4 linked regions of the Mytilus edulis genome follow. The protein of the gene in region 1 binds, or shares a complex with, the protein of each later gene. Links are inferred from orthologs where the notes say so. Each region holds a gene or a part of one and is shown in the gene's direction. Other genes may lie near its edges. The genes, in order: THO complex subunit 3-like, THO complex subunit 7 homolog, THO complex subunit 4-like and THO complex subunit 1-like.

Region 1 (7,981 bases):
ATACACCTCAAACATGTTTACAAATTGAGCATGCACCTTGAGTATTCAGTTTAAGCTTTCTTACCATATAGTTAAATATTGGAACAATACCAGCTAATGCCTGTTGATATTGATTCCATACAGAATAATATTTCTCTAAAAATTGTCTCCCATCTTCTTTCTCCTGCAAGTATATATAACCCTGCATTTATTAATGATAGACAAATAATGTTCATGGTTATATATATATATAGATTCTACCATTGTATCAAGTGTGATGCAATATTCATCCACGCAAGACCATTAAATCTTCTAGGGATTAGAGAGTTTGTACTGAGATATCTCTGAATATAACCTGAACCCTCCATATATCATTTAAATTTTATCATATATTTCTGATCAATTTTTCAGATTAAAATAATTCCTTTTTATAACATGAATCATATTTAGTGATAACAAAAGCAATAGCAATACTTTATTTTCCCACACTGATTCTCATGCATTATTTAAAATAAAATGCTATTCCCAACCTGTCTATTTCATCGGATACATTAATGTTGAAAGCTTGAATAATTTCAAGACATTCATCTTTGTTTTTGGAAAGGAGTTAAATCTTTACAATTATATTGATTATTCATTTAACCTATTAACATTTAAGTATATAAAATATTTTTTTATCTTATAATCATCAATTCACGGACTACAATATGCGTGTCAGTGTTCTCCCCAGATATTTCATATAGCATACTGCTAATTAAGGAAATTTGAAATACCATCTTGTTTTTAAAAATTATAGCATCACATCAATAACACAATCTATTAGAAAATCCATTCAGATAGCATCACATTCAGAAATATCACATTACCATGATGCTAAAAGGCCCTGGGTGTAACATGATGTTACAGCAAATTAAAACAAGGATAAAATTTAATGCCCCCTCCGCTACGGCAAAGGGCATAAAAATGTCAGATACATGCTAAGAAATCTTACAAGTTGTAATACATGAGAATGAGTGTGGGGAAAATATAACTTGATGTGATCTAGGAAATCTTTATTTTTTACAGATGTCCCCCAAAATAATACATACCCATGCCTGGAATTCCTCATTCTTTCCTTCAAGATATTTTGACATGTACTGCATCAGATCTGAGTACAACCTTTCAGAAAATTGTTTACATACACATTTATATACACAACTGAAAAGAAGAAGAAACATGTCATTCCATCATGTATACAAAGTATAAAGCCATCAGTTTTGTTCTGAGTGTCATCTATAGTTATAGTGGTATAGTTTTGTGTTGTCATACAATTTGTATGTGGTTAATTTCTTTTGGTGAATATTTCTGTACTTGTTTTTTCTTGCTAGTCTGTATAAACAAATGTTTAGTATATCATATATAACACAAATGTATCACTATCATGTTCCATGTACCATAATTCCTTAAAAATTCTTAACCAAATACTTAACATTTTAAATTTACTGTGTGCTATTTTAATAAGTGTGTACCACTGACAATCCACAACAATGTGTGATAGATTAAAGCAAATCTGATACAAGTTGAGCAGTTTTAAATGAGTATCAAAATTTGAGTAAGTTACAGGAGTTTTAAGCACATTTCATTCGTCATGTTCATTTAGGCTACTAAAGAAAGAAATTCAAATTAAAATTTGTCTGCAATTATCTGGTCTCATTTCTGTACCTTGATATGATGAGTTAAAAGAGATATTTGGTAAAACTCAATGAAATAAAAAAAAAACCAACATAGTCTTCAACAAAAGACAAGTGCCTTTTCGTTATAGGTCAATGATTAAATTGAATCTTGAAATGCTAAAGCTAATTTTATAATATTTTGTCATTAATGTGACTATGACTATATATACCTTATACAATATTTAGTCAATCAATCTGTTTATGGGTTTTCATATGTATTGCTCAGCTATGAACATGATGAAAGAATTTTTAAATGCAAAAGTTAAAAATAATATATGTTATTTACCTGTACATTTGTTCATAAGATATAGGTATTCCTTGACCTGGTGCCATGGTCAGCAAATGATTTATTGCCTCCTCTAATTTTGGCCAATATTGAGATTCGTAATCACCAGGAGTCAAGGTCATCATCACTACAAAAATCAAATGAGTTCAATGTGAGAACTCATAAGTATGGAGCAAAGATCTTTTTGAGATTTCAGAGATAGGATAAATCAAAATTCTATTCTCAATCTTATTTCTCAGAAAACTCAGAGGTAGGTAATCTGAGAACTCAGATGTAAGGATAAGTTATATTACTTACCCACTATCTAATACACATGCTATTATCTCCTACTAAGTAGCATATTAATCTATTGCAATAAAACATCATAATATCTAATAAAATGTGTAGATTTAGCTAACAAAGTCCTTATATTTGTATAAAGTAACATTCGTTTAAAGTGGAAAATTGTTTTAACGTTGAATAAGCTACAATTAAAAAATGCTTGCTGGTCCCTCTCTGTGATTACCATTATATTACGCTGGTTCATTTCCCAATCAATCTGTCACCAAGGGAAGATAAATAAATCGATTTTCGTTCATAGTCTTTTTCAAAAATGATGAACGGTTCTTTATATTGGTATGTAATCATTTTAAACGTTTCAAATTTATGAAATTATATTCGTACATCAATGTTTTTGATACACCAATAACAAAAACTGAAATATATTGAATTGATACATTTTGTAATTATTCAAAATTATATCAGAAACCTAAACTTAATTATAAAATAATGAACCTGTTAAGGGGAGAGAATACTCGCATAACTTTTTCGAATTGGCACATAATACAACGAAATGTCACTCTTGCATACAAATGGCACATCAATATAATTAATTATCTGCGAAATCGTCCCCCACCTTCAATGATGATTCTAAATTATAAATATAACCAAAAGTTGTTAATCTATAGATAGTTAAGACTAATGAAAGCTAACCCAATGTAAAAATATTTCTTTGCAATTTTTTAAAACTTCCTTAGAAAAATACTCGAGCCACTTGACTTTCATAGCTCAAAATTAACGTTTTTACACAATATTTGAATAAAGAAGTTGAAGATTATTCGCTTCTCAAAGTGTAAGACGCAATAAAAATCGTATGCTTGCACCATCCTACCGAAATACGGTTTTAATTAAGTCCTGAACATTTCGACATTTCTTCGTATATTTTGAACAAAACCGGTTTTAACCAAATCACAAGTACGTGTTAAGATCCGACTAAATACCTATTTTCCTATATGGTCAGGTAAAGTTGCTATACTAAGTTCCAAAATTAACAAAAAATACTACTGTAAATTCAGAAATTATTGCACTGTTTTTATTATTACAGTTTAAAATGACAAAATCGCAATAATAAATGCACACAATAATTTCTGAATTTACAGTATTTTACATGTGACCCCCCCCCCCCCCTTTTTTTTTAACAAAAGACCTCATAACTCAAAAATAAAAAAGTATACAGATCTTTAGATTAATATAACTAAGAAGTGTGTAAAGTTTTAAGCAATAATTATCAATCATTAATGAGATAACATGTTTACATCTGATCATCAAGGGATATTTTTACTTAGGACCAACTCCCAGAGGGACAGATGGAGAGATGAACAAACAGTATAACTGCTATATGCTTCAGATCAAATATTGAAGGATGACAGACAACACATTGGTGACATTAGTCATCAACTTTGGGAAAACTTTATGCTATTTCATATTGGTTCCATCCTTGTAGATATAGAAGTCACATGATTGTTTGGTCAGCGATTCCAGTGCTCCATTTACAGCAGCCAGAGGAACTGTGCATATATAAACACATTTGATAACCAATCAGCTGTAGCAGTTGAGCTAATGAAGTACTTTTTTAGCATCATTCCGTAGACACCCTGCCTTGTAATGTAAACCTTGGGTGCTAAGTGAGATGTGGGATTGGCTTAATTGTTTTAAGCGTGACACATGAAAGTAAAATAATTTAATGTAAAAACCGGATACAAAGTCAGATGAGACACGTGAAATAACATGCGCTATTGTGGCAACGAAAAGCCGGATACAGGATTCTCATGACTAAACAATAAGCAAGATCCAGGATCAGACCCCCAAAAATTATCAGACCCACGCTACAGAGGTCCTGGGTTCGATTTATGTTTGAGACAATGAATTTAATAATGACATTCATGATCCCAGTTACAGTTGGTTGGTCATTTCAATAACGTCTTGTGGCAACAAATGATTGGAAAAATGTGTTTACATATGATATGAAAGTAATGGGTAAACACTTATTTTGAAGGGCGATGTAGACATACCCATACTACCAGGTCGCAGAAGTGGATGTTCTTCAGCTTGGGACACATTTTCTTTGCCTAGCTCTGGTTGTGTAGAGTCAGCCTCTGCATCCATAGGTTCATCCATCGTTAAAACTTGTGGCAAGATTTTCGTTTACTTTGCTTTTATTTTTCCCCGGAAGTCATTAAACTAATTGAAGAAAAATGTCGGTTGCGGAAAAGATCCTTTGGTCTTCCTAAATTTCAAACTTCGTATCCGTGAAGATTTTTCCTTAGACCATTTTTTAATCAATGCTTTATAAAAATACAACATAAACTTGAATTCAATTGTTTGATGAAATATTGTACATTTTCATACGTCAAATATTCGCCAAATATGAAATATGTGTTAAAAAAAGTAGCTTGATCGGAACCAACGGACTCAAAATAGAACTATGGCTTCCTTCCATGAAACCACGAGAAAATATTTTAACAGTAACAACAGAATCAGAGAGCTTCAGGCACATTCAGCAAAAGTTCATTCTGTTGCATGGAATAGTGATGGGAAAAGACTTGCCTCTGGGTCATATGACAAAACTGTCAATGTATTTGTTTTGGATAGAGAACGGATGGTTGGTTTGCTCTTGAAACAAATTAGAACACACATTGAACGATCACAAACACACATTGAACGATCACAAACACTGAGTAGACATTATTTTTAGACCCCAAATTATCACTGAAATACCAGGGAATAAAAATGAATGAAACCCAAGATTCCTGGCAAATTAATCCATCACCTTTTCTACTTGTCAGTTTTACAATTGTGCACCATTTCTCAACAATTTGATCAAGGATTTGTATAGTTATACTATACATGCTATACTTACTGTCGCACAAATAAGCTCGATCAATAAGTACAGAGAATAAATATTTTATACAAAAATATATACTTTATAATAAAAACTTTAACCCATAATGTTGAATTGAATAAGTTCACCAGCACACTTGAAGACCTGATATTTAATTAAATTACAATCTAATTTTGACACTTGTCATAAATCACCAATCAAGCCAATAAACATGTCATTAAAGTTTTCACACCTGAGATACATTATCAAATTCATTTAATTGAATTACCTCATATAATCAGTTGGCAATTAGAATCCAATCAAAGAAGAAATTTGATAAAGTTCAAGATTACAGTGAATTGAATGAATGAATGAATACTTTATTGCAAAATTGAATTCCTTTACTTTTTTGTAAATGTCTTCACATAATCTTTGTATTGAAACTATTGTTTGTACTAAGGGAGCTACCATTTGATTTTTATGGGGGGGGGGGGGGGGAGGGTGCTAGGATGAAAATTTTTGTCCTGCATTTTTTTTAGCTGTAATCTCTGTCCTGCCTTTTTATTTTTCACGCTGTTCAGTCCTGCTGTTTTGTTTTTTTTAGTTTATCCTGACTTTTTATTACCTAAATTGTAGTCCTGACTTTTTTTTTTGCAAGTGTCTCATCCTGACTATTTTTTTTACTCAAAATTCCTGTCCTGCCTATTTTTTTCAAATTTCATCCTAGCCCCCCCCTATAAAAATCACATGGTAGCTCCCTAATAGAAATGAAAGAAATTGTATTTTTTGTGATTTAGGAGTAATGGAGGGTGTGTATTATGCCATATGTATACACTGTACATGTACTTGTTTATACTGATGAGCCGTAAGGCTCAAAGTTAATAAAGAATTGGAAAATTTGAATATTAAGAATACAAAACTGGCTCTCATTTTGTAGATAAAACTAGATAGCTGACATGAATTAAATTAAAGTGAGACCACCAATATCCCGGTATTAACTTGAATCATTTGAAAAAACAACAACATTGTATTGCATTATGACCTTTTAATAACATTGAAGGAGTAACAATTATTTGAGTTACCCTTGGAACCTCAGTCTCCAAAAACACCCAAAACACCAGACAAGTTGAAAACACCAGACAAGTTAAAAACACCTTCAAAACAGAAGGCTTTATACATGTAACTCTGAAATCTACTTACAGATTGAGGTTTGCTGATAATGGTGACTGTGACAGGCAAGATCATTAGATACTTCTTACTGACCGCTCACCTTCAGTAAAGAAAACAAAACTTAACAAGATTTCTTGGTTTAAATTAATGATAAAAAAAAGAGAAAAAAAGAGATACTAAACACTTGTGTAGATCATTTTAATATATTTCATACATCGGGTAATGTGAATTCCGTCTGGTCAACTTTTTTTTTTGAAGAAATACATTTTACAATAAAGTTTATATTTTCGTATCATATATTACCAGAAATCAACGTTGATTGGTCGAAATATTTCAAGATGTCAGACTTGCTGATAATGAAACTACAAATGTAGATTGTATTGTATGTTGAAAAAGGTGGACTATCTGGACTCCGAAAGATCGTTGATCATAGAAAGGCACACAAAAATGTAGAAAACAGTTTATCTATACATGCTATAAGTGTATACAGACATGGCTGTCTGACAAGTACAGAATAAGCAAAAAATGAGCGTAAACAAATTGTCCGCGATCTCCTGTTATGAATGGGCACTGCTTTCTGTCTATATTGCAAAAAGAATTAATAAAAAAAATAGAAAATAGCAAAATTAATAAAAAGCAAATGTAAATTAGTAAATATATGCATTATACATGTACATGTTATAGGAACAGAAGAATTGGGTCTAACACTTCCCTGCATCTTGTTTATCAGATCTTGAATGACATGTGAAATATACAATGAAATTATTGGTAATTTACGGATTATGTGAATTAAAAGACTGTTAGACATGAATTACACTTCAATCTTTTAAATCTGTCTGGCAAATTACAAACAAATGAAAAGTATGTAAAAACATTTATTAGGCATATGATAGATCAGCATCTCAAATAAACATCTGTGCTATGAGCCCATGACACGCCCGTTGCATTTTCAATCATGTCAATAAAGTTCAATAACTTCTCAATGCTACATGTATATCAGAAATTTATAAGAAAACTAAAGGGAGGTTATCTTAATAGATATAAATCAGTCAGTTTAAGCTAAATAAAAACTGCTCTAATCACTTTAATGATATATATGTAGGACTCTAATGTGCGATAGGGACGCTAAAGTACGATGGTCATGCTAAAGTGGGATGGTCTACGCTTAAGTCCAATGCCTCCATAAGCTAAAGTGCGATGGTTCGCGAAAGTATAGACATCCGAAACGTAGTTGAATTATGACGTTAACAGTCGCTTATACAAACCAAAAATTAACATGCCGGAAGATGAAATAAATAATGGAAGCGAACAGTTCAAATTAAAATGTTTACGTTTACGTTGAAATATTGTCGATTTTATTGACGAGTATAAACGTCGGTAAAATAAAGGTACACATTTTCAAGCATAAATCATAAATTGTCCATAAGACATCAGTGTGTACATTGTAGTAAAATATAACATTTACTTGCTAAGAAAGAGGTGAAAGCTCGAACAACAACCCCTTTCTTTCGCATTTAAATTAAATGTCAAAAATTCATTTAAGGGAAATATAATAGTATTTTGTGACACCTAAATAACCTTTTTAGCAAGTATTACTAGGTTTAAGTCTTCTAAATTTAGAAACAGTCACAAGACTACGGGTAAAGTAAAAGTCTATCCCATTATATGTTATATCATAGCAAACTAGAATTTGCA
Region 2 (7,510 bases), on another chromosome or scaffold:
GCAATGGACATATGACATACAGAACATTTGAAACAATTGTATACATTTAAGAAAGTTTCAGGTCTGCTACCTCTTTATATATATAGCTTTGTAAGATAGTTTCAGAGTTGTTACAAAGTAATCATTTCTATAGCTTGCATACTGTGAATTTTATATCAGGCAAGACAAAACCGATCTGCAGATTTTTCTTTAAAATTTTTATGCATTTCGTACATACATGTAAGTTGAAAGAAGATTTTGACCATGATGTTTAATGTATTTTTTTTTATTGTACTCTACATGCTCTGGTTAAGGTGAATAAGCATGTCAAGTTTCATGCTTGAACTCTCTAAATTGAAAATCGTAAAGATTCATTACTGATTTATTGGTTATTTTGCTTGATGCTTGGAATCATCTAAATGACATGTATTGTGATGGTGGTCTTGAAAGGCTCAAAGGTTAACCAGTCAATCAACTTTTAATAACCAATTGATATGATGGTGATCTTTACTTACGTAGATGTATGTTAAGCGCTTGTGGCTTTAATACTTTATTACACTTCTCGCACTGGACAAGAAAAAACTCATCTTGAGAAGGACACACTCCAAACAATGCACTATCTGTTAGAAAGAAAACAAAACTATATTACTTTATAACTTTATAATTACATTAGATGTATGTTTCATTATAATATTTTATTCTGATTGGCTAACTGCACATCACGTGTTATTCCGTAAGCAGTTGCATTGCTCAATACATCTTTTCACTCATGATAACACGTGCTCCAACAATAAAGTGCACAGGTGAATTAAATAATAAAATATATAAAATTTGTGTTTTCATGATCATAGCTAAAAAATGTAATTATAAGTATTGAATGCTTCTTTTTGTAACATTATAGGGTTGTAAAAGCGTTGACCGTGCGTACATTTTTAGAATGAAGCGCTTCTGCGCTTCATACAAAATGTACTTCGGTCAACGCTTTTACACCCCAATAAATTTACAAAAAGAAGCATTCAATTCTTAAATACAATGTACTGGACGGATAAAAATTGTCTTGTAGTTTACACACTCCATTAACCAAACAATGCACTATCTGTAAGAAAGAAGAAAAACTATATTACTTTATAACTTTATACAATGCACTGGACAGATAAAAATTGTCTTGTAGTTTACACACTCCATTGACCAAACAATGCACTATCTGTTAGAAAGAAAACAAAACTATATTACTTAATAACTTTATACAATGCACTGGACAGATAAAAAATTTCTTGTAGTTTACACTCCATTGACCAAACAATGCACTATCTGTAAGAAAGAAGAGGATAAGATATTCCATTGACCAAACAATGCACTCTGTGACGTGTCAAAAAAATAAATTATACAAATTTCTTCATAACTTTGTACAATAACAAAAAAAAATTAAAATTTAGTTTCAATTGGTAATTAATTTTCAATAAATGATCCACAAGACAAGATATAAAAAAAAAATATCTGTTTCTTCCTCCAACTATATTTTAGACATCCAACCCTAATACATTCTTATGTCTTACCAAATTTTATATCAGGAAATAAGAGCTTTGAATTGTAAGTCGACTACAAAAACTTAATTCTGCTGACTTGTTGAGATATTTAGAGGATAATAATTAAGTAAAAAGATTGACAAAACAATTGAATCTGAAAGATTAAGAAGCATTTGGATGTGTACTGTAAATTTCGATTGGAGACCAGTTTAGATAAAACAGGTGATTTTTCTCAAATTATGCTGATAATGAAACAAATAAAAAAGAAAAAGCATTTCCATTGATTTAAAAGTGATTTACTTCAGTTTTGTATTTTTCTTATCAAATTAATTTTGTATACTAGATCCATTGTTCATGCAGTATTAATGGAGTGTGTGATGTTTGAGTACCAAAAATAACACAATTTCTGCTTTAGCTTTTGAAAGATCTTGTAAGCTCAGCATCTACAAGGAATTTAAGGTTCATCATAAGGAATTGAAAAATATGGCCGTGTTTACACCTCCAAAATTACTATGAGTACAGACAAACTGGTACATCCAGGAAAATTTTAAGGCATGGCAGGAACTAGATATATAAAAGTTATATGAAGTCTACGTTTCAGAAAATTATAAACTTACCTGGATTTTGATGTTCATTTTTTTCCAGTCTGCAGAAGATAGCAAAATAAACAAACACCCGAGTTTCGTTTGATACGGTCCACTCAGTTACACAGTTTAAACCTGTTAAATCACCTATTGTTTACAGGTGTCTATTGTCCATCTATTGTCCATTTAAATCAATACTACTCACAACATTGATTATATGAGGGGAGCTTCTCAATCGTTTTCACTACTTAGTTAATTTTTGCACCTTCTGCAGGAACGAAAAAAAATGGATAGCAAAATCTAGAAAAGTTTATAATTTTCTGAAACATAAAATGCATTTAAAATTTATATATCTAGTTCCTGCCATCCCTTAAAACTGTTGCAGGTGTATAGGTTAGTCTGTACTCAGAGTAAAATTTGGGGTATAAATACGGCCATTTTAGCCAAAAGGTTATGATGAACCTTAAGAGCAACAGGTATAGATATCAATGGTGAATATATTACTCAGAAACAATAAGATAACATGGTCATAAACAGGCTTCAAAAATAAGAGTCAAAACCATTTGTCATTTTAAATGACAAATGATTTTGACTCTTATTTTTGAAGCCTGATTTTTGATGAATCATTTTTATGCTAGGTTGTAACCAATGTAGAGTGAACATTTAAAACTTGATTTGTCATATTTTTTGTTTATTGTTCTCTTTTTAAAAAAAAATGGTATTGAACTTCATGTAAAAGATTTATACGCTATTCTCCATGTCAAACTACATTCAAATCAATGTGTATAAAATAAGTTCAACTTATCTTTTGTTACCAATGCTATTACCTTCAACATTCAGTTTCATACTATCACTGTCGTCTGTAGCTTTAGATTCAGAGCTTTCACCACCTGAATCTGAAAATATATAAGAATTTATTTTGACATTTGTCAGGGAAATTTTGAAAGTAGAAACGACACTGGTTATGGAAAAGTTTTGAACATTCAGAAATTTGTAATAGCTTTTGGACAATACATGAATCATTTAAACGATGATATTCTATTCTCACCACTATATGGTGGGGAAGGCACAGTATTGGCCCATTCGGACCATGGTTGACCCGCAAAATGCGACGGACTACTGTCCAGGGTCGCCATTTTGCAGTTTTTCTTGTTGCTTTCTGCCAGTCCGACTATCACCGATGTTTTGTGACGTCAAAGATCGGGAAACTCCGTCGTTGGTCTTGGTCTTCCGCTTACGCCAACGAAAATATAGTTTGTTAAATGATGATTTTAACAATTCAAAAGTTCCTATTTTTTTACGAAGATCGAAAAATAACTCCAAATTAAAATATGAAATATAGAAATTAACAAATTAAACGAAAATGTGCCACAAATTTTTTGTATTTTATTCAAATTTGATGCTACAAGCGACGAAAATGGCAGTGAGTGATGGTTAGTCTTCTCGTGCTGCATGCTTTTCATGTTTTATAATGTTTATGAAATTAGATTGATTGATTGACTTAAATGTGTTCAATGCTAGATAGAACATAGATCCAAATTTAATATAATTCCCTCAACTAAGGATTATGTGGCCCATTTTCGAATCTTTTTTTATTTTCTGAAACACAATTTCTCAAAATGCAAATTTTTTTAAGTTATTTTATTTGAAACGAGTCGTTTCGGCCAAGCCAATGGAGCCGGTTCGGCCTTTGTTGATTCAGCTATATAATAATAGTCGTTTCATCCATTCTTCAATTATATATTAAAAGATGATTTGTTGTATTTGCTTTGGGAACAAACCCTCTATCTATGGTGTTTATACCTTTATAGAGGGTTAATCCTTCTGTATTTTTGTTAAGACTGGATTTTAAGCAAAATAGGGCAGATTAGCATTTTCTAGTTATATTGGCTATAATATAAAGCATTATATGCATCAGTTATTGCACTTTACTAAAATTGGGATGCCCAGATTTCTGCCGACAGAACTTGAAATTTACATGTATTTTATACCTATCTCACTGTACAATAGATTGTATATATACAGTCAGTTTAGCAGTAAACTGGGTATGTGCATATTAAACTAAGTACATCAATTGTTGCAGGTTACTGTCATAATAAGTAGAGACTGCCAATATACCCTATTTTGCTTTAAAACCAATCTTAACAAAAATATCCCTCTATAAAGGTATAAACACCATATAGATTATAGAGGGTTTCACCGTTTGTTCCCAACCTGATATATACCTTTTATATAAAATTTGGAATTTTTTGAAACACAATTTCTCAAAATGCATAATTTTCCTGAAAAAAAGTTGTTTAGGCCATGCCAATGGAACAGGATTGGCCTATGTCGATTTGCCTATGTAGTAATAGTCATTTCAACCATACTTCATAAATCATGTACTTCAACTATATATATATTAAAAGATATTTTGTTGTATTTGCTTTCATTTATATGCCTTTTATATATCGTAACTCTAAAAAAATTTTAACTAAATTGCACTTAAATGGTAATGATGTGCACAAAATGACATAAGCAAAGGCCAAGGGATATGGTTACGGTCTTGTTTTGAAATGATTAAATTGAATTATAAGTTGATTGGATTATTATGATACACACCCCTTGTCAATCACTTTGACACTTATTTTATTACTTAACTAATCCAATTATCTAATTAAATATACAAATGTATCTGTGTGTAATCAATTATCTTGAGTAATATAATAATTAAAATAGATGTATTCATGTATTCTCAAATCCAGTTCAATTTTATTTAGTCAAATACAGAAATCAAACCATAAACTAATTATGCTAATAGTAAATTATTAAACTAAAAACATTTTTTATAGATGATATTTTTCGGAGGAGGTTATTAATAGAAGGTGATGGAGGTGGTGACGATAAGAGAATTGCCAGCTTATTGAAAACATTTTTCCATTGGGCAAGTGAATCAGAGACCAAGGAAGAAAAGTAATCTATAGTTTTTGTAAACTAGCTTAATTTTTTTTTTTAGATTTTCATTGATACAGCTTTGTCTAATGTCCTAATATGTTTGAGAACTTATTAAATTGTATTTAGTAAATGCAATAATCAATAAATATCATAGTCATGATAGTTTTAACATGGAGCAGGAATTTTCCAACATGTTGAAAATTTCCAAATTTACAATTGTATGACAAGTTAATGCCACCTTGAAAATACAGTTTATCAAGATTTTGAACACCTACCCCTGTGCCCCAATAGGATGACATGCAATGTAACATGCACAACTTGTGGCAATGTGGTACATGTATGCAGTATGTTTGTGAGTAAGAACAGCCCCTGTATACTAAAACTGAGAATGGAAATGAAGAAAGTGTCAAAGAGACAAAAACCACACCAATGAGCAGAAAACATAAATGTGCATGAATGGCCATGATACACAGAGTTACCATAATCATAAGTCAGTGCTTTTTCTCACACCTTTTTGTTTATTTATGGTATTAGATTTGTAGAAAGAGAGATTTAAGATACTAAAGATAGCCAAAAATCAATGACAAGACATACATACTGCATTAAAGATTCATTTTACAAAATACTGAAGCAACACAAAGACGTAGAAAAAATCTGGGGTGTTTTTTTGAAGAAGTATACAGAAAATGAAATTTTGCACCATTTTTTGCCAAATGATATTCACTTTGTATGACAATATGGATTTCTGACAATGAGTTATATGCTTGTAATTAATATAATGTACCTTGGCTGTAATTAATAGATATCTCTGCTTTTGCAGTCTGAGAAAAATGTTAAATCAAATTGTAGTTTTGAGCAAATTACCAAACTGGTCGATTGGAAAAATACAACAGTATTAGTAGCACATGTGGCCTGTGTTATATGAATTTATATTTATAAACATGATAAAAAGATACTTCTGTTTGACTCTGTTCTGTAATGAATGATCATGAATCATGAATGACTTAATTTATATCAAATGTTTTTTTTTTTCAAATTGAAAAAAAACCAAAATATATAATGTAAGAATAATACATTGTATTTATATTTTTATGCCCCACCTACGATAGTAGAGTGGCATTATGTTTTCTGGTCTATGCCTCCGTTCGTCCGTCCGATTCAGGTTAAAGTTTTTGGTCAAGGTAGTTTTTGAAGAAGTTGAAGTCCAATCAACTTGAAACTTAGTACACTTGTTCCCCATGATATGATCTTTCTAATTTTAATTCCAAATTAAAGTTTTGACCCCAATTTCACGGTCCACTGAACATAGAAAATGATAGTGCGAGTGGGGCATTCGTGTACTATGGACACATTCTTGTTTATTATGTTTTCTGATTTTTTACAAAGATGAAGTGTTGGCAACTGGTTTTTTTTACAGTTGCTCCCAATCTTTTTATTAAATTTATTTTACCTTTATGTGAAAGCTGATTGGGGAGATGTACAAAACTACAAATGTATAAGTTCTTACAAATAACAAATACCCAATTTGTACAAGTTCTTACAAATAACAAATACCCGAACTATTTTCTTTTAATGAAATACATGTTCCTTTTTCAGTCATGCCCAGTATGAGAGAATGATGAAAGACCTAGCTCTGTGTGACTGTGCTGCAGGAAAATGTTTGAATGTTTTCAAGATGAATTTGAAGGAGCAATCAAATTATGAAAAATTAAGTAAAGAAATTGGTAAGATATAGAAATAGTAAAGAAACATGGTGGGATGGTGACAAGGTTACACAAGTTTTCAATTTGTATTTAAAACAAATCTGTATCAGAATCCTAAAATGAAAACAATAATAATAGTGCAATTGTAGCTGCATATATAATATAGATATTGTCTATTAGACATACAACAACTTATAGTACAGTGTAAGATGGGATGATTCTATACCCGAAGAATAAGTACTTAAAATAAGATTTCTGTAACTATTAGCATTTTGTTATTACCTTAATAAAGAATTGTTGTTATGTTATATTTTTTTTTATGCCCCATTTATTTTGCCCAATATGTTTTCTGGTCTGTGCGTCCATTTGTCTGTTCATTCGTCCGTTTGTCTGTTCTGCTTCAGGTTCAAGTTTTTGGTCAAGGTAGTTTTTGATGAAGTTGAAGTCCAATCAAATTGAAACTTAGTATACATGTTCCTTGTGATATGATCTTTCTAATTTTAATGCCAAATTAGAGTTCTGACCCCAATTTCACGGTCCACTAAACATAAAAAATGATAGTGTGAGTGGGGCATCCGTGTACTGGGGACACATTCTTGTTTGTAATGTTCATTTCACTCTTATTATGAGTAATAGGATACAATGTAACTACATTTGGTATGTGCGTACCTTGCAAGGTCCACTTGCCTGTCGGACAGTTTTCACTTGACCTTTCTTCTATTGATGTTAATTGAATAGAAAACATGCCCTAGTTCCCATTTAAAAAAAAAATTTTTTAATTAGC
Region 3 (7,644 bases), on another chromosome or scaffold:
TTTAAATGTGTTTTATGAATTTATTTCCAACAAGGGACGTAACACCACTACTGACCGTGTATGAAATAAGCCCCGCCTCCCTTCTTACCTAATATGGAATATAAAGGGACGTAACACTACTACTAACTGTGTATGAAAAAAGCCCCGCCTCCCTATTAACCTAATATGAAATATACACGGTCTCCACGCGGACGCTTTTAATCAATCATCTTCCTTGAAATGAATAGGAGGTAAGATAAAATTTTATACATGATTCAGACAATACAATACAGTTCAATATAATATAATAATAAGTATGATGTATGATAAGTGGTGATGTGAATGGTTGTATTCACATCATATGGTGGTAATTTACACAACTAGAAACCTCTGATTTTTAGTTTTAAGTCCCCAACGGAACACAATGACAACATAAGTTACAAAATGCATTCACATTCGTAACATATAAATAAGGTGCTAGAGTAATCAACTAAATAAATTGCATTTTTCGTATCACACTTAAAGGAAGGTGGGGTTCATTCAATTCTGTATTCTTTAAAATTCGTTATGGCCCTTTTCTCTATTCTTTATATTATATGGTTTGTCCCTTATTCTCTCGGTGTTCTTTAAATTTTAGCACTCCAATATTCACTATTCTTTATATTTTAGCACTCTATTATTCTCTTTTCTGTTGTTTTTTTTGGGCGATTTTCTCTTTAATCTTTTTATTTGTTTGGCCTTTATTCTGCACTTTTTACCCATTATTCTCAATTCACACCTTATTATAGGTGTGTGAAATGAAATATATCGCTGTTTGCAATGAATAGTTAACAGGCTGACCACAACTATAAGAGAAACTGTGGCTTTTTCAACATCACATTCGTATCAACCCGTGACAACAAATGAATATATATAATCCCAAGAACTATGATTGTTGGATTATATTGTCACACTCGGCGAAAAGGGGACGGGATTGTAGTAACACCATTTAGAATTAACATATATCCACTATCATATGTGAAACGGATATATTCCATGACGGTTAACCAACTCATGATGTCATCCGTAAAACGTAAGAATTATTTCAACCAGTTATCTGTTTATCTACATCTATACATCTACATCTTGCAGCTCTGTCGTCACTCGAAAAAGGCTCTTCGACCCATCACACAAGTATCAAGTTAAGTTTGACGTCTTCCTACATGACGAAAAAATTGTATATGATATTTAATATACAATAGTTCCAAATTGTGCTCAAAATTATGTACAGGTGCTGGTTATAAATATCATCTATCTTTTGTTGGTGTTGGTTAGCCATTACAGAGAAGCTTGGTGAGTTTGGACTATAATTCCCCACTGCATGCTCTCAATCTCTAGTAAAGTTAGACTTGTAGTTTATTCCAGTCTCTGGTGGCCCAGGGAAGAAAGCTGTACATGTAAATATCGATCTATTTGATCTGATTTGTACGTATCTTTTAATATCTCGAAGTTCTTCTTGGTTTTAAAATGGGATGGCATAGGTACAATAACCTTTTCACGGATGGCTTTATGAAAGAGCGTTGTACGTGCTATAATTCTTCTTCTGGTTTCTAGTGGTTTCGGGTTCAATTCTAAAAGTGTTGTAACTGTTCCAGGCTCTCTTGAGTAGCTGCAAGCGTATTAAAGGTGATGTCGGACAAGAGCAAGATAGGCTTGTTTCTTGACTTCCTCTGGACATGACCCAACCTTTCTTCGTATGAAGCCTAGTACTCTGTTTCCGTTATTGACATCTTTTCCCCATGCATGACATTGTGTTGGTAAGTTTAGCTCCAAGGTATTGGTTTGATGCGCCTGATCATGCCAAGAACATGTCAATTGATGTTGAGGTTGAAATGGATGTTTTTCTCTTTTTGGTAATTGTAATGACATAACATTTTGAGAGATCATTTGGTCCACTTTACCATTTTGTCAAGATCTTCTTGTAATTTTTTACAGTCGTCCTTTGATGATATCGCTAGGTACGTTAATTTATCGTCTTCGAATAGGCGAATCTTTAATGTTATTTCGTTTTGCTATGTCGTTTATGTATAGGAGAAATCATCAGTGGTCCTTAAACTGTTTCCTGTGGTACGCCGGGTGTTACTTTAGTAGTACTTGAACTTTCCCCTTCCAGTGTGACTTGTTGTTCTCTTTGTGTCAACCATGCTTCTATAACCAGGTATGTTTCCCCTGGCCTTGATACCATTTGATGCAAGGTTGCCAGTTATGTCCTCTGCTGTAATTACTGGTTGCGACTCAAGCAATCTTTTGCTTCTGAAGCCACGTTGGAATTGCACAAGTATATTATGCTTGTCAAGATGGTTCATCATGATGTGGTTGAATATGACATGTTCCATTACTTTACATGGAACTGACGTCAATGATACTCTTATTCCCTTTATTGAAAAGTGCAGTGACATTTGCAACTATAGGCAGTCCTGTGGTACACTATGATCTTTTAATGTTTTGGTGAAGATAAGCTGTAAATATTTTGATATTGACTCTGCACACTCTTTCAATATTCTGTATGATATGTTGTCTGGACCAGTTGCCATGCTTTGGTATACTCCCTTAAGTAGTTTGGTTAAGACCTCGAGATCTGTACTGATGTGTAGATTTGGTATTTCTGGTGTTTCATTTTCAGTTATGATTTCAGTCTTCCATTATAAATACTGATTGAAATTGTACATGCAGTTTTTCTATCTTTCCTTTGCCATGTTTGCTGCTGTCTATTGTTCCTCCCGTAACTTTGAGTGTTGATACTCCCATTGTTTCTCTCTTACACTTGGAACTTTAATAGCTTCCTTGTGAAATTGATGATTTATGCATTACATAGCACTTTAGCAGTACCTCTTTCGGATAGTTTTTCTATTGCTACAAATTTCAAAAATAATAAGGACCTACTGTATACTTTTTTTCAAAAAATATTTAATTTGAAGAAGAAAAAACATTGTCTAGTTAAATAATATTAATTAAGTGTAAATTCAAACTTTTGTAAAACTAATATTTTTTACATCTAACTTTAATTGATACTTCTACCATTTAATAAGCATACATATATATTACAATAATATTGTCAGTTTGATTTATTTTTTTGCAGCTATTGCAGTTATGTTCGTATACAAGTATAGTCATTGAAAAACCTAACAAAGATATTTAGAGATTAAAGTTTTAGAAATGAGTTGATTGACTGATAATTGACACCTGTCACTAAAAAAACACCAGAGGCGTATATATGTCTTTGAAAACACTAATTAGTTTGTATAACACTCAATTCCTTTTTTTTTTTATGACAAGTGAATTTGTAATTTTAAAGTAATTGAATTACATTTAGATTAGATTAAATTAACAATATGATAAAAAAAAAAACAAACTTATACGGTAATGGTAGATTAGAATCCTGAAAAAAACACAGAGATAAAAACTTCGAAATATAAAAAGTCTGACCGGCAGAGGAACAACCTTAACTTGCATTTCTATACTCTAGTCTATATATCAGTTATACGCCATATATACAATACAATAAAGAGCTTTGATAAAAGAACAAAACTATTGTTTTGTCCTAATAATTAACATAAACAATTAATTTTATGCATTGATTTGTATAGATTGCAATACTATATGCACACACATAGTACATTACAATATTTTTTGGTGTATTTCCCCCGGCTTTAACATCTTAAAAAAGGTATATCATTATAAGGATTATATATATTGTATATTTGTGTCTGTTATTTGGTTTGTAATCTGTTATTTATTGGATTTTCTTTCTCTGTATTCTCTTTGGTAAACGGACAGAAAGTCACAGGACAAAAAGTCACAGGACATAAAGTCACAAATTAGGTAGGACAAATAGTCACAGGACAAAAAGTCACAAATAATTTGCTGACAATTGCTTGGATATATAAGAGAATATTTTGAAATATGCATACTAAAGTTGAGGAAATGTGTCATTATACTTGAAAAATGAAGATTTATTTAATTTTAATCATGCAAAAGATATATTTCTTGGCACCATGAAGCCATTTAAGTGCAAAGCAACGTTGACAATATGTTTTTTTTAACAATTATTTGATCATCTTAAATGAAAAATTTTGTTTACAAAGTTGGTTTATATACAATAGTTCAAGAAAAATACAAAAATATTTTTGTAGAAATAAGGGTTTTTTATTCAAAGAAAATATGAATTGTAACTTTTTGTCCTGTGACTTTTTGTCCGTGACTTTTTGTCTGTGACTTTTTGTCCTGTGACTTTCTGTCCTACATTCTAATCTTTATGCCCCTCGGGGTCCAACATTGGCTCATAAAATTTATATAATCTAATTCTTTTTTTTTTTTTTTTATCTTTTACAGTACATATACGCCATATTTACAAGAAAAAGACTAGGCATTCTTCGAGTTTTTTGTTGGGCGTAAGGCATAGTACATTTTAACATAAGATTCATGTGCCCCTGTGATCGAGGCAAGATCCAACCCGCACTTATTTTTTTTCAAAAGCAAGGGGAGACAATCTTATTATAAAATTCCCTATCCCATCGTGCACCACTCGTATGCCGCCATTTTCACTAAACAGAGAACACGAGAACACCAACAAAGCCGGTAGATATTGATTGAACAACGTATTTCTACAAAGGTTATGACAATGGGAGACAAAATGGACATGAGTTTAGATGATATAATCAAGTCAACCAAAAAAGGAGGTCGTGGTAGAGGAGGCGGTCAAAGGAGGGGACGCGGTTCCGGCGGCGGTGGTGCCGGTGGTGCAACAAGAGGTAGACGCGGGGGAGGAGGCTTTGGGGGCCGACAGAATCGAGGCGGCGGTGGAGGAGGAGTGTTTCGTGGCGGCATTCAGAAAAGAAGAACCAGTGGTGGTGGAGGAAGACAAAGCTTTTCCCGGGTAAACTTCAAAAATGATGTCGACATCAGACCAGTCTTTGTTTTTGTTGTGTACATAATTTCATTTCATTATTTTGTCTATTTCTTAATATAATTTGTGGATGCTAGGCCTTAAAACTTTTGCAACTGCACAGGTTATCATTACTTAAGAGTAGTTTTTGTCCAATTCACTAATTTTTTATGCCCCACCTACGATAGTAGAGGGGCATTATGTTTTCTGGTCTGTGCGTCCGTCCGTTCGTTCGTCCGTCTGTCCCGCTTCAGGTTAAAGTTTTTGGTCGAGGTAGTTTTTGATGAAGTTGAAGTCCAATCGACTTCAAACTTGGTACACATGTTCCCTATGATATGATCTTTCTAATTTTAATGCCAAATTAGAGATTTTACCCCACTTTCACGGTCCACTGAACATAGAAAATGATAGTGCGAGTGGGGCATTCGTGTACTGAGGACACATTCTTGTTTATGATTATTATCAACATGCTCATTAATTTGAGGAATATAAATACACCTTATCGTTAAGCCTGGCTGACATGAAAATCTGTCCCATTTGAACTATGGCTTCATACAAAAATGAAAATCACTTAAATTCCATTGTGGCGTCAGATATTTGTATTGTTTCAAAATTTTACAGGAACCTGTGTGATGTCCAGTTTTGAGTAATGGCGGATAAATAGCCATAATAAGGTGTATTATAAACCATCTTATCGCTATTTTGTGCATTTTTGTTTGATCTTTTTATGTGATAATTTTTCATATCATGCTACTCGCCTGAGATGGAAAATTATCGCTAGAAATAAAGGAGGCATGTGGCGTTGCTAATGAAATTGAAAACGTTGTCATAGGTAAAATAGCGATAAACAGATCATCATTGGTCATCTCAACTCGATTGCTTTTTTTGCTTTCGTCTTTTCGGCTCAAGCGAGAAAATCAATCTTGTTGAGATAATCAACAATAATCTATAAATATATGTAGTATTATTTTTTGTTAGATCACAGACAATTGTGTTCTGTGAATGGGGGATTTACTATCTATACTTGTACAAAGTTCATGAAACATGTTATATTGTTGTAAAGATAAATAAATTACCAGCAGATTGATGTGTGTACATGTTTAATCATGGGAAATGCAAGGGAATGTTAGAAAATATAGGTTGAATTAAACACTTTTTGTTAGCTACATGTACCTTGTGATTTTTCATACTACATATGATATATCTGTTATTTATTTCATGATCAGTCTTCAGGCTCAACCATATATGTAGGCTCACCAGCCTAGGCTTGTAAAAATGCTGTCTTGCCTGTCAAAAATATCTCTACACGCCAATAGAATATAGCTAAAAATTTTATAAGACTCAGCTTCAGGCCTGTAGATTTAAAATATTGACGTGAAGACTGCTTGTTCTGAAAAAGTATGCACAAATACACAATGTTCTAAAATTATTTCATGGTTTTCTACATTTACAATTGTATATATTGTATATATAATTTACATGATAAATTGTGAATTGATGAATTAAAGACTAAGTTGCCAGACACAATAACTATGATTTTGACATCAAGTTCTGGACTCTATATATTATTTGTTTATCATGTTGATAGGACTGTTGAATATTTGTCTAATAACCAGCATATTTGCCTGAAATTGTATAAAAAAAACCCACTTTTTTGCTGACTTTTTGACAGCCTTTTGTATCTGTTTATACATGCTGATGCCAGTTAAGTTAAACAAGTAATCTAGAATGTAACACCATGAAACGTGATTGATGCATAAAAATTAATAGGATTTGTTTTTCCATTTGTTTAGTCTAAAGACACACCAGATGATGTATGGAAGCATGATATGTTTGACGGAGATGTTGGTACAATGAAGAGGGGTAGAGGAGGAGGAGCTGCTGTTGGGGGTGGTGGCAGCACAAGTAAACTACATATATCCAATTTAGACTTTGGGGTCAATGATTCTGATATACAGGTACTTCAATTTAATAAGATTTTCATGTTGTTCCTAGTTCTTTTGCTTTTATGTAGGAGTTTGAAATATAGGAAAAGAAACATTTAATACATACATGTACAAAATGCAGATAGTCTTGTTATCTTGTATTCTTAATTTTCAAAACATGCAGATATTTGAATAAAATCTTACCAGTGAGGAATTACATTTGTATTTTATATTTCAATGTATTAATACAAGTTTTAAGATTACACGAATATGTATTTTAAACAAAATCATTATAAATATTACTAAATTAAAGGTGGCATAGTTTTGTTCATAAAATCTTAAGACATGAAGAAAAACAAAATGATAGACATATTACCTTGAATCATATAATAGATGTTTTAACAAAAGAACCAGTTAGAAAATATGATCATAACTGCTCAATTTGAGTACATTTAAGCATGCTTGCATTTTAATTTTTTTCTTCAGGAACTGTTTGCAGAATTTGGTCCATTGAAGAAGGCAGCTATACACTATGACAGATCTGGAAGATCTTTAGGCACAGCAGAAGTGATATATGAGAGAAATTCAGATGCTGCAAAAGCCATGAAACAATATAATAATGTTCCTTTAGATGGTAATAGTCAATGAATATATACATGTTGTTACATAACATCTTTTTATCTGGTATCAAATAGTTAGGTAATTTCTACTGTTCCAGTTGAATCTGAATAACAATATATTGTGTAAATAAAAGTTTATTAAAAATATATAAACACATAAGGATAAAAATCATTGATCTTTTTATGAAGACTAAGT
Region 4 (8,618 bases), on another chromosome or scaffold:
CACAGCATAGGTTTCTGACACAGAATGAATGTGGTCTAATGAACTTAAAAGGTTTTTTTTGCCTTTGAGCAAATCACTATGCTGTTGAATATTAATCCTCTCAAAAAAATGTTTGAAGAAATTTTCTTTTTATTTATGAAATCTGAAATGAGAAAAATTTACCCCCCCCCTTTTTTTTCACATCCCCGTTTCCCTTTTTCAAAACTGATATCAATTCAAATTACTAATGGAGTTTGCAACAATAACTACTCATTTAAATACATCATAAAATATTAAGATGTAAAAAAACTGCTTGTTATCACTGAATGGTAAAGATTATTTAAATTTATCAGTTGGTAGTAAAAAGTGTATATACATTGTATATTGTATATAACAAAGATTTAAGTTGATTCTGGACAAAGAAAGATAACTCCAATTAAAAAAAATTCTTGCTATTGCACAAATAGGATATTTCTTGCTTACTATTCTGGACAAAGAAAGATAACTCTATTTAAAAAAAAAATTGCTATTTCACAATATTGTGCAATTAGATATTTCTTGCCATTGCACAATACTGTGCAATTGAAAAGACTTGCTATTGCACAATACTTAATATAATAATTTTAGATCCTGATTTGGACCAACTTGAAAACTGGGCCCATAATCAAAAATCTAAGTACATGTTTAGATTCAGCATATCAAAGAGGCCCAAGAATTCAATTTTTGTTAAAATCAAACTTAGTTTAATTTTGGACCCTTTGGACTTTAATGTAGAATTTGAAATTTGAAAACAGGACCAAAAATGAAGAATCTACATACACAGTTAGATTTGGCATATAAAAGAACCCCAAGGATTCAATTTTTGATGAAATCAAACAAAGTTTAATTTTGGACCCTTTGGACCTTAATGTAGACCAATTTGAAAACTGGACCAAAAAAACTTCAATAATCAAGAATCTAAGTACATTTTTAGATTCAACATATCAAAGAACCCAACCGATTCATTTTTTGTCAAAATCAAACTAAGTTTAATTTTGGACCCTTTGGACCTTAATGTAGACCAATTTGAAAACGGGACCAAAAGTTGAGAATCTACATATACAGTTAGATTCGGCATATCAAAGAACCCCAATTATTCAATTTTGATGAAATCAAACAAAGTTTAATTTTGGACCCTTTGGGCCCCTTTTTCCTAAACTGTTGGGACCAAAACTCCCAAAATCAATACCAACCTTCCTTTTATGGTCATAAGCCTTGTGTTTAAATTTCATAGATTTGTATTTACTTATACTAACATTATAGTGCGAAAACCAAGAAAAATGCTTATTTGGGTCCCTTTTTGGCCCCTAATTCCTAATCTGTTGGGTCCTAAACTCCCAAAATAAATACCAACCTTCCTTTTGTGGTCATAAACATTGTGTTTAAATTTCATAGATTTCCATTTACTTAACCTAAGGTTATTGTGCAAAAACCAAGAAAAATGCTTATTTGGGCCCTTTATTGGCCCCTTATTATTCCTAAACTATTGAAACCAAAACTCCCAAAATCAATCCCAATCTTTCTTTTGTGGTCATAAACCTTGTGTCAAAATTTCATAGATTTCTATTAACTTAAACTAAAGTTATGGTGCGAAAACCAAGAAAATGCTTATTTGGGCCCTTTTTGGCCCCTTATTCCTAAAATATTGGGACCAAAACTCCCAAAATCAATACCAACCTTCCTTTTATGGTCATAAACCTTGTGTTAAAATTTCATAGATTTCTATTCACTTTTACTAAAGTTAGAGTGCGAAAACTAAAAGTATTCGGACGCCGGACGACGACGACGACGACGACGACGACGACGACGACGACGACGCAGACGCCAACGTGATAGCAATATACGACGAAAATTTTTTCAAAATTTGCAGTCGTATAAAAACCATCAAAGCACAATGATCATAAATATGGGTACATCATCAAAAAGGAATATTGTTATAATGTTTGTAACTTACTTGCATATAACCATATACCAAATAAAAAACAAACACTGCAGCTGTAAGCAGGATGAATTGCATAGTTGGCGATTGTCCTGATATATCAAAAAATCCAATCTTAAGTTCTGTTGTTTTCTTATTTGAGGATTCTGGCATAGGAACTATAGCAGATTTTTGAGACATTTCGTACAATGCAGAGTTACTTCCCTTTTGTCTCAGTAGTCCAACAGATAGTGGTGTGACTCGAGGAGTCACTGATCTAAAACAAATATAGCAAAAGTTATGTATTTTTTTGTATGATCAATCCATTTAGTCAGTGAAAACAAAATCAGAGCGAGTATTTAATTTTGTTCATGAATTTTGTTTACATACATCTACTTTACAAATACAAGCTCTAATACAATAGGAATTTTCCAAACACTTAAACAGCCGACTCCTAGCTCTAGTTAAAAACATTGAATCATTTCTTTACATTACATGTATATATTTAAATTATAATAACTGAAATATCATTTTGAACATCATTGATTTTTTACCATCTGTTTCTATATGGATAAAAATCAATATATAATTACCATACAATTAATTTTACAAATGTCCACAAATTTAATGACTGTATATCTTTCAATTAATGATATCTAAAATGGTTGTACGCATGCTGGTAAAAGATAGAATTTTCTTGATTCAAATTATTAAAAATCTTGAATCTTAGCCAGTGAAAAAAAATGACCATGATAACCTGAAAAACTTCAATCATGCATCAACTGATGTGATTCAACTATGACACACATATACAAGCTCCTAGGTTTTTTTTTAAAGGTGAACTCTCTCAAACCTACAAGTCACAAAAAGAAGTCTGTCATAAGAAAAAGAAACTTTGTAAATAAAAACATATCTGAATAAGAAAACATTATTCAATACATGTACACAAAATCATTCACCAGGTTATACATCTGGTGACAAAACTTCAAATAGTGGTCACACTCACAGTCTTCACAATAAATATTTTAATCAGCAGGCTCGTATCTCAATTTTTTGAGAATTTAGTTAGATTTTGTTGGCCTGTAGAGATGATTTTTACATGCTTGAAAGAAATTTTACAAGCCTGGACTGCCTGGACTGCCAGGCCTGTAGTGATGTGTGAAGATTCCAGTGGATCATCCATACCTTAAAGAATCAGGACATATGGCCTATCAATGACACATGTAAGAACATTCACTAAAGTTATATTAAAAATCAATTGTTCACAGAACAATTGGTGGTCTTTCCACATCAATTTTTCTAAATTATCAATAAGAAGCTACTTCTAGTTAACTCAAAGTTACTATTGGCATCCAAGCATAAAGATTTATTCATACTGATTCAATAAATACATGAAATATATGTTTCTATATATTTTTGCATGAAACAAGGGAGATAATTATCAACTTCTGGTTAAATATGTCACTTCCAGTCTCATAAGATAGCTTTATTCACACGGATTCCCAAAATATATAGTTTCTATATACTTTTGCCTGTAATAAGGGAGATATAAGGTACTGGTTTATTGAAGGTCACTTCTGATCTCAAATATTAGGTTTTTGTATGCTTATCTAAAAAAAAAGTTTTAAGGTACTTTTCAAAGGAATAAGTGCACAAATAGCTACTTACAATTTACTCAAGGTTACCTCCAGGTGATACTTTTCAAGGTTATATGTCACCCAACAGATTGTTAAAGACCGTATGGCTTTATCATGTACCAAGTTAGAGTAATAATCAATTCATCTTAAATTTAATAATTTCAGGGACAATAACTCATATAAGATGTCATTGGATTGTTTCAGACCAAATGAATCATATCTACATCACAATCAGGCCAACATTTTTCAATAGTTCTTGTATCTATATCTTAAAAGTGAGAGAGGAGATCATAAAACAAGGAAAAGTAAAAATTTAAAATATAACCTTGACCTCAATTTCATTTTTGTGCACAAGTGACCCAAAATCAATATTATAATACTAGAACACACCCGCGAAATCGCGGGCATATACAGCTTGTAAACTGTTGTAGGATGAATTTTTGTAAAATTTATTATGGTTGGAGAATTTCATATAAGGTATCAAAAGCCCTCTATCTTTTTTTCCAAAATCTGTTATGTGTTTCCTTTCTGTTAAATTCAATAATTTTCGTGTTTCTGGCATTATACCACAATTATTCTTCACCTTTGCTACAATGCATTTTTTTTTTTATAAAAGTCAAATTAAATTAAAAATTTGCACCGCTTCAAACATGAAATAAATGAAACTGCTTATAGATCATGCATTATTATTCTAATAAAATATGCTTGTAGGACAATCCATCAATGCTTTTCCTTTTGAGAGCCCTATTAACATGCCAATGGTAGGATTTGGATCTCATATAAATGACTAAGGCTCATTTGAGGGGTGGTCTGAGGGGCCCTGATCCCGAAGTCCCGGGCTTTTAAAAAAATGAAATCCTGAGGTGCGTATTTTAACGAAATTCATAAGCTGACATCCCGAAATTAAAAAAAAATAATATTCCAGAGTTTAAAAACACCCGATCCAAACGTCCAGAATAAGTCCAGCCTCCCTCTAATCTCTACCCTACTTTCATTTTGGCCAAATTACTACTTTCACTTTCAACAATAAACTTTTATGCCCCATTTATGGGAATTATGTTTTCATGTTCGTTGTCCGTCCGTCCTTCTGTCCCGCTTCAGGTTAAAGTTTTCACTTTCAACAATAAATTTTTATGCCCCATTTATGGGAATTATGTTTTCTAGTCCGTTTGTTAGTCCGTTTGTTCATCCGCTTGTTCGTTCGTCCGTCCGATCGTCTGTCCCGCTTCAGGTTAAAGTTTTTGTCGAGGTAATTTTTTATGAAGTTGAAGTCAAACCAACTCGAAACTTAGTAAAGATGTTCCCTATGATATGATCTTTCTAATTTTAATGCCAAATTAGAGATTTTACCGCATTTCATGGTCCACTAAACATAGTAAAGGATATTTTTTTAACAAATATTTAAATTACAAAAAAAATAATTTAAACAAACTTCGTCCCCATTCACAGGTAATGCCTGCCTCATATTCAGTTTAAAGCCTATGGTTGTGCCATTAGCCCTGCTATATATGGTCTTGTTCTTCTTTTTTTTAGATAGTCTAAGAATGGGGTGTTGGTTTGCAGGGCAAAGACAATCTATATAATATAAAATTACATCATTTTTGGTTGTCAAATGGAAGTTTTTAACGACCTTGACTGTCAAATATTCATTTCCACTTAAATAGTTAAGGTATGCACATTGCCAACCACTAGTCGGTGTTTCGTGGGCCAGCGAAACGTCAAAATATGACCGGAAGTGTGAAGTACGTCATCAAATATTGCGGAAAATTTCAAGATGGCAGCCTCCATCGGATTTAACTTTCTGGGATCTGTGGGAAAATTTACAGTAATTCCATCACTTTTAGATAACTTTTTCAAATTTTAAATTGAGCTTGAATTAAACCAACAAGACACTTATTTTTACATGTTCATTTAAATGAAAATTTGACAACAACAATTTCTTCAAACAATCCTACATATTTTTTTGGGAAACAAGACGTTTCGGCCATTGTCATTGAGCCGGTTCGGTCTTGGTCGTTTCGGCCATGTAATAAACGTAGTATAGACTAAAAGTTATACAAACATTGGTTCTATTTGTTTGTTTCTCTTTTATGTTGTCAGCAAATAGGAATTTGAGTGTTTTATCACTTATTTTTTAGAACATGAAAAATGGTGTATAAATAATTTTTCAGTAATACATAAATTTTTCTTGTTAAAATCTAAAACATTGTTACATACACGAGCGAATCATACAAGTTGAGATATATAAACTCCGTAAGATGGTGACAAGGGAATGTCACCATCTAAAAATGGATAATTAACGATAGGAAATGAGAAATCATCTCTTTTATCATAAATTTTAGTATTAAGCTTTTCATTAATGATATAGATATCAAGATCGAGGATTTTCGGTTTTAAAAGCTCTTCAGAGCTTATGTTTGTAATTGCTTGCTTATACCAACTCTAAATAAAGCTTTATGTCTTATGTCTTATGGCAGTGGTCATTGCTAGTATTAGCTTTATTAAGTAAGTTCAACAGGATAAATTTCTTTAGTATACATACTGAAGTCGTCATTATTGAGAGCCAAAATATCATCCAAATATCTAAAAGTATTATTAAATTTGTGTATCAGATGTTGTTTCGATGGGTCTTTGCTGATTTTTGTCATAAATTGTGACTCATAGCAATACAAAAACAGGTCCCCATTGGATTTACGATAACCTGACGATATAGGGAATCTCCAAAGAGATCTAATAAATCTAATAAAAATTGAAGGGCAGATATAATATCAAAGCATGTCCAATTGACATAGTTTTTTTTGTTTATTGCTACTAAAAAATGACCTAAAAGAGTGAACATATATAGTCACATTCTGACTTTTTAAATGTCCATTTAATTAGGGGTGTGAATTTTTTCATAATGAGAATGTGAGGCAATGTGGTATATAGGGTAGAAAAATCAAAACTTTGAACAGATTCAAAATCACCAATATAAGCATGCAATTTATCAAGTACTTCCAACGAGTTTTTGACACTCCAAAAGTAATTTATTCCACTATTTTCGAAGGCCTTATTTGAACAATTTATTATCAGGTTTTTGATTGTACCAAGTGTACTGGTAAGAAGAATAGATAATTAAATAGTGGAACAATGGCTTGTAGACGAATTAAATTTATATTTGTAAGGTGTTTTGTGTAGCTTCGGAAGCCAATACATAGTTGGGACTTTCATTGATTGTAAAGGGGTAGCTAAAAGTTAATGTTTGTTACAGATATTGTTTTCTGAAAATGGAGTCAGTTGGAATGTTGGTGAATTGGTAGTAGGTTACATCCAAAATAAAAGTAGCAGTCTTGTTTTCATATACATGCACATGTATGACTGTTGATTTTTTTTAAACTAAAAAACTTACTTATTATTTCAGAGTGCTTTGAGAGAATCTCTGTTGCAAAAGTCTAATGTGGAGTGCATTACAGTATACAAATCATACAATGGAAGGTGGGTATTAAAGAGACAGAAAAGAGTATATTGCTTATTTATTTGCTAAATCCATGTCCCAAAGAAAATAACATATTTATATAAATACGGTTAGTAGTATAACTAAGTATATATCCAGTATCATGAATATCTCTTTTACATGTATATGTTCCAGACCATATGTGTTTTTGGACCATCACATGAAATGCATGACAAACAGTTTGTTGCATCAAAGTCATACTATGGGAATGCTTCACTCGTTATGGCTCATTAATTCAAACAAACTTGACTACAAACCAAAATACTGTAACTTCTAAAACTATTAACTACTTTTCAGTTACACCCTGTGTATGCAGTTGTAATAAAATTTTCATTTTGATTTTCTCCTTTTTTGATGACAACTCAAAAGGGGCATACCTGAGGAAATATACAGTATCAAATGTTAATTTTACAACATTCATTGTGTTAATTAACCAGACCATATGTATATTGTTAGACCAAATGAGTACACAAATACCAGATCATGCATATGTATATAATTATTGTTAGACCAAATGAGTACACAAATACCAGATCATGCATATGTATATTGTCAGACCAAATGAGTACACAAATACCAGATCATGCATATGTATATTGTCAGACCAAATGAGTACACAAATACCAGATCATGCATATGTATATTGTCAGACCAAATGAGTACACAAATACCAGATCATGCATATGTATATTGTCTGACCCAATGAGTACACAAATACCAGATCATGCATATGTATATTGTCAGACCCAATGAGTACACAAATACCAGATCATGCATATGTATATTGTCAGACCCAATGAGTACACAAATACCAGATCATGCATATGTATATTGTCAGACCCAATGAGTACACAAATACCAGATCATGCATATGTATATTGTCAGACCAAATGAGTACACAAATACCAGATCATGCATATGTATATTGTCAGACCAAATGAGTACACAAATACCAGATCATGCATATGTATATTGTCAGACCAAATGAGTACACAAATACCAGATCATGCATATGTATATTGTCTGACCAAATGAGTACACAAATACCAGATCATGCATATGTATATTGTCTGACCAAATGAGTACACAAATACCAGATCATGCATATGTATATTGTCTGACCAAATGAGTTCACAAATACCAGATCATGCATATGTATATTGTCTGACCAAATGAGTACACAAATACCAGATCATGCATATGTATATTGTCTGACCAAATGAGTACACAAATACCAGATCATGCATACACAAAAAATGAAGATGAACTCTCCACAACTATGTCTGGTCCAAATACACATTGATAAAAATGTCAATGCGTAAGTAAAATGATTTGATATTCCATGATATGTGTCTTTTATTTTTGTTGTTGGGTTGGTCATTGATATAAATCCCGCATCTCATTTCTATTGGCAAAACATTAATATACCACAATATCAAGTGATTTTATTCCTTGTCAATTATAATACACATAAAGTAAAAGATTTACTTACACTCAAACTATGATTACCCAAAGTGCCCTTGTTTAGTAAGTTGGTTATTAAGGCAGAAAT

What was found.
Region 2: THO complex subunit 3-like (region 1) and THO complex subunit 7 homolog share a complex: the UniProt entries of both Homo sapiens proteins name them as parts of the transcription/export (TREX) complex. The link is inferred for Mytilus edulis from reciprocal best matches to the Homo sapiens genes THOC3 and THOC7.
Region 3: THO complex subunit 3-like (region 1) and THO complex subunit 4-like share a complex: the UniProt entries of both Homo sapiens proteins name them as parts of the transcription/export (TREX) complex. The link is inferred for Mytilus edulis from reciprocal best matches to the Homo sapiens genes THOC3 and ALYREF.
Region 4: THO complex subunit 3-like (region 1) and THO complex subunit 1-like share a complex: the UniProt entries of both Homo sapiens proteins name them as parts of the transcription/export (TREX) complex. The link is inferred for Mytilus edulis from reciprocal best matches to the Homo sapiens genes THOC3 and THOC1.

What each region holds. Positions count from the first base shown.
Region 1 is NC_092347.1:86,565,946-86,573,926, forward strand, and holds the start of THO complex subunit 3-like, read left to right. Parts: upstream 1-4,694; 5' UTR 4,695-4,720; coding exon 4,721-4,897; intron 4,898-7,981. Other genes in the region: CDK2-associated and cullin domain-containing protein 1-like, read right to left, coding at 65-163, 1,068-1,176, 1,978-2,104, 4,308-4,413. UniProt on the Homo sapiens protein: Component of the THO subcomplex of the TREX complex which is thought to couple mRNA transcription, processing and nuclear export, and which specifically associates with spliced mRNA and not with unspliced pre-mRNA.
Region 2 is NC_092344.1:46,251,239-46,258,748, forward strand, and holds the start of THO complex subunit 7 homolog, read left to right. Parts: upstream 1-4,343; 5' UTR 4,344-4,358; coding exon 4,359-4,470; intron 4,471-4,920; coding exon 4,921-5,041; intron 5,042-6,619; coding exon 6,620-6,747; intron 6,748-7,510. Other genes in the region: serine-rich adhesin for platelets-like, read right to left, coding at 495-599, 2,917-2,985, 3,138-3,225. UniProt on the Homo sapiens protein: Component of the THO subcomplex of the TREX complex which is thought to couple mRNA transcription, processing and nuclear export, and which specifically associates with spliced mRNA and not with unspliced pre-mRNA.
Region 3 is NC_092352.1:25,278,452-25,286,095, reverse strand, and holds the start of THO complex subunit 4-like, read left to right. Parts: upstream 1-4,520; 5' UTR 4,521-4,633; coding exon 4,634-4,894; intron 4,895-6,696; coding exon 6,697-6,861; intron 6,862-7,314; coding exon 7,315-7,462; intron 7,463-7,644. UniProt on the Homo sapiens protein: Functions as an mRNA export adapter; component of the transcription/export (TREX) complex which is thought to couple mRNA transcription, processing and nuclear export, and specifically associates with spliced mRNA and not with unspliced pre-mRNA.
Region 4 is NC_092344.1:105,008,780-105,017,397, forward strand, and holds the start of THO complex subunit 1-like, read left to right. Parts: upstream 1-5,273; 5' UTR 5,274-5,347; coding exon 5,348-5,398; intron 5,399-6,973; coding exon 6,974-7,047; intron 7,048-8,618. Other genes in the region: adenosine 3'-phospho 5'-phosphosulfate transporter 2-like, read right to left, coding at 1,973-2,213, 5,168-5,172. UniProt on the Homo sapiens protein: Component of the THO subcomplex of the TREX complex which is thought to couple mRNA transcription, processing and nuclear export, and which specifically associates with spliced mRNA and not with unspliced pre-mRNA.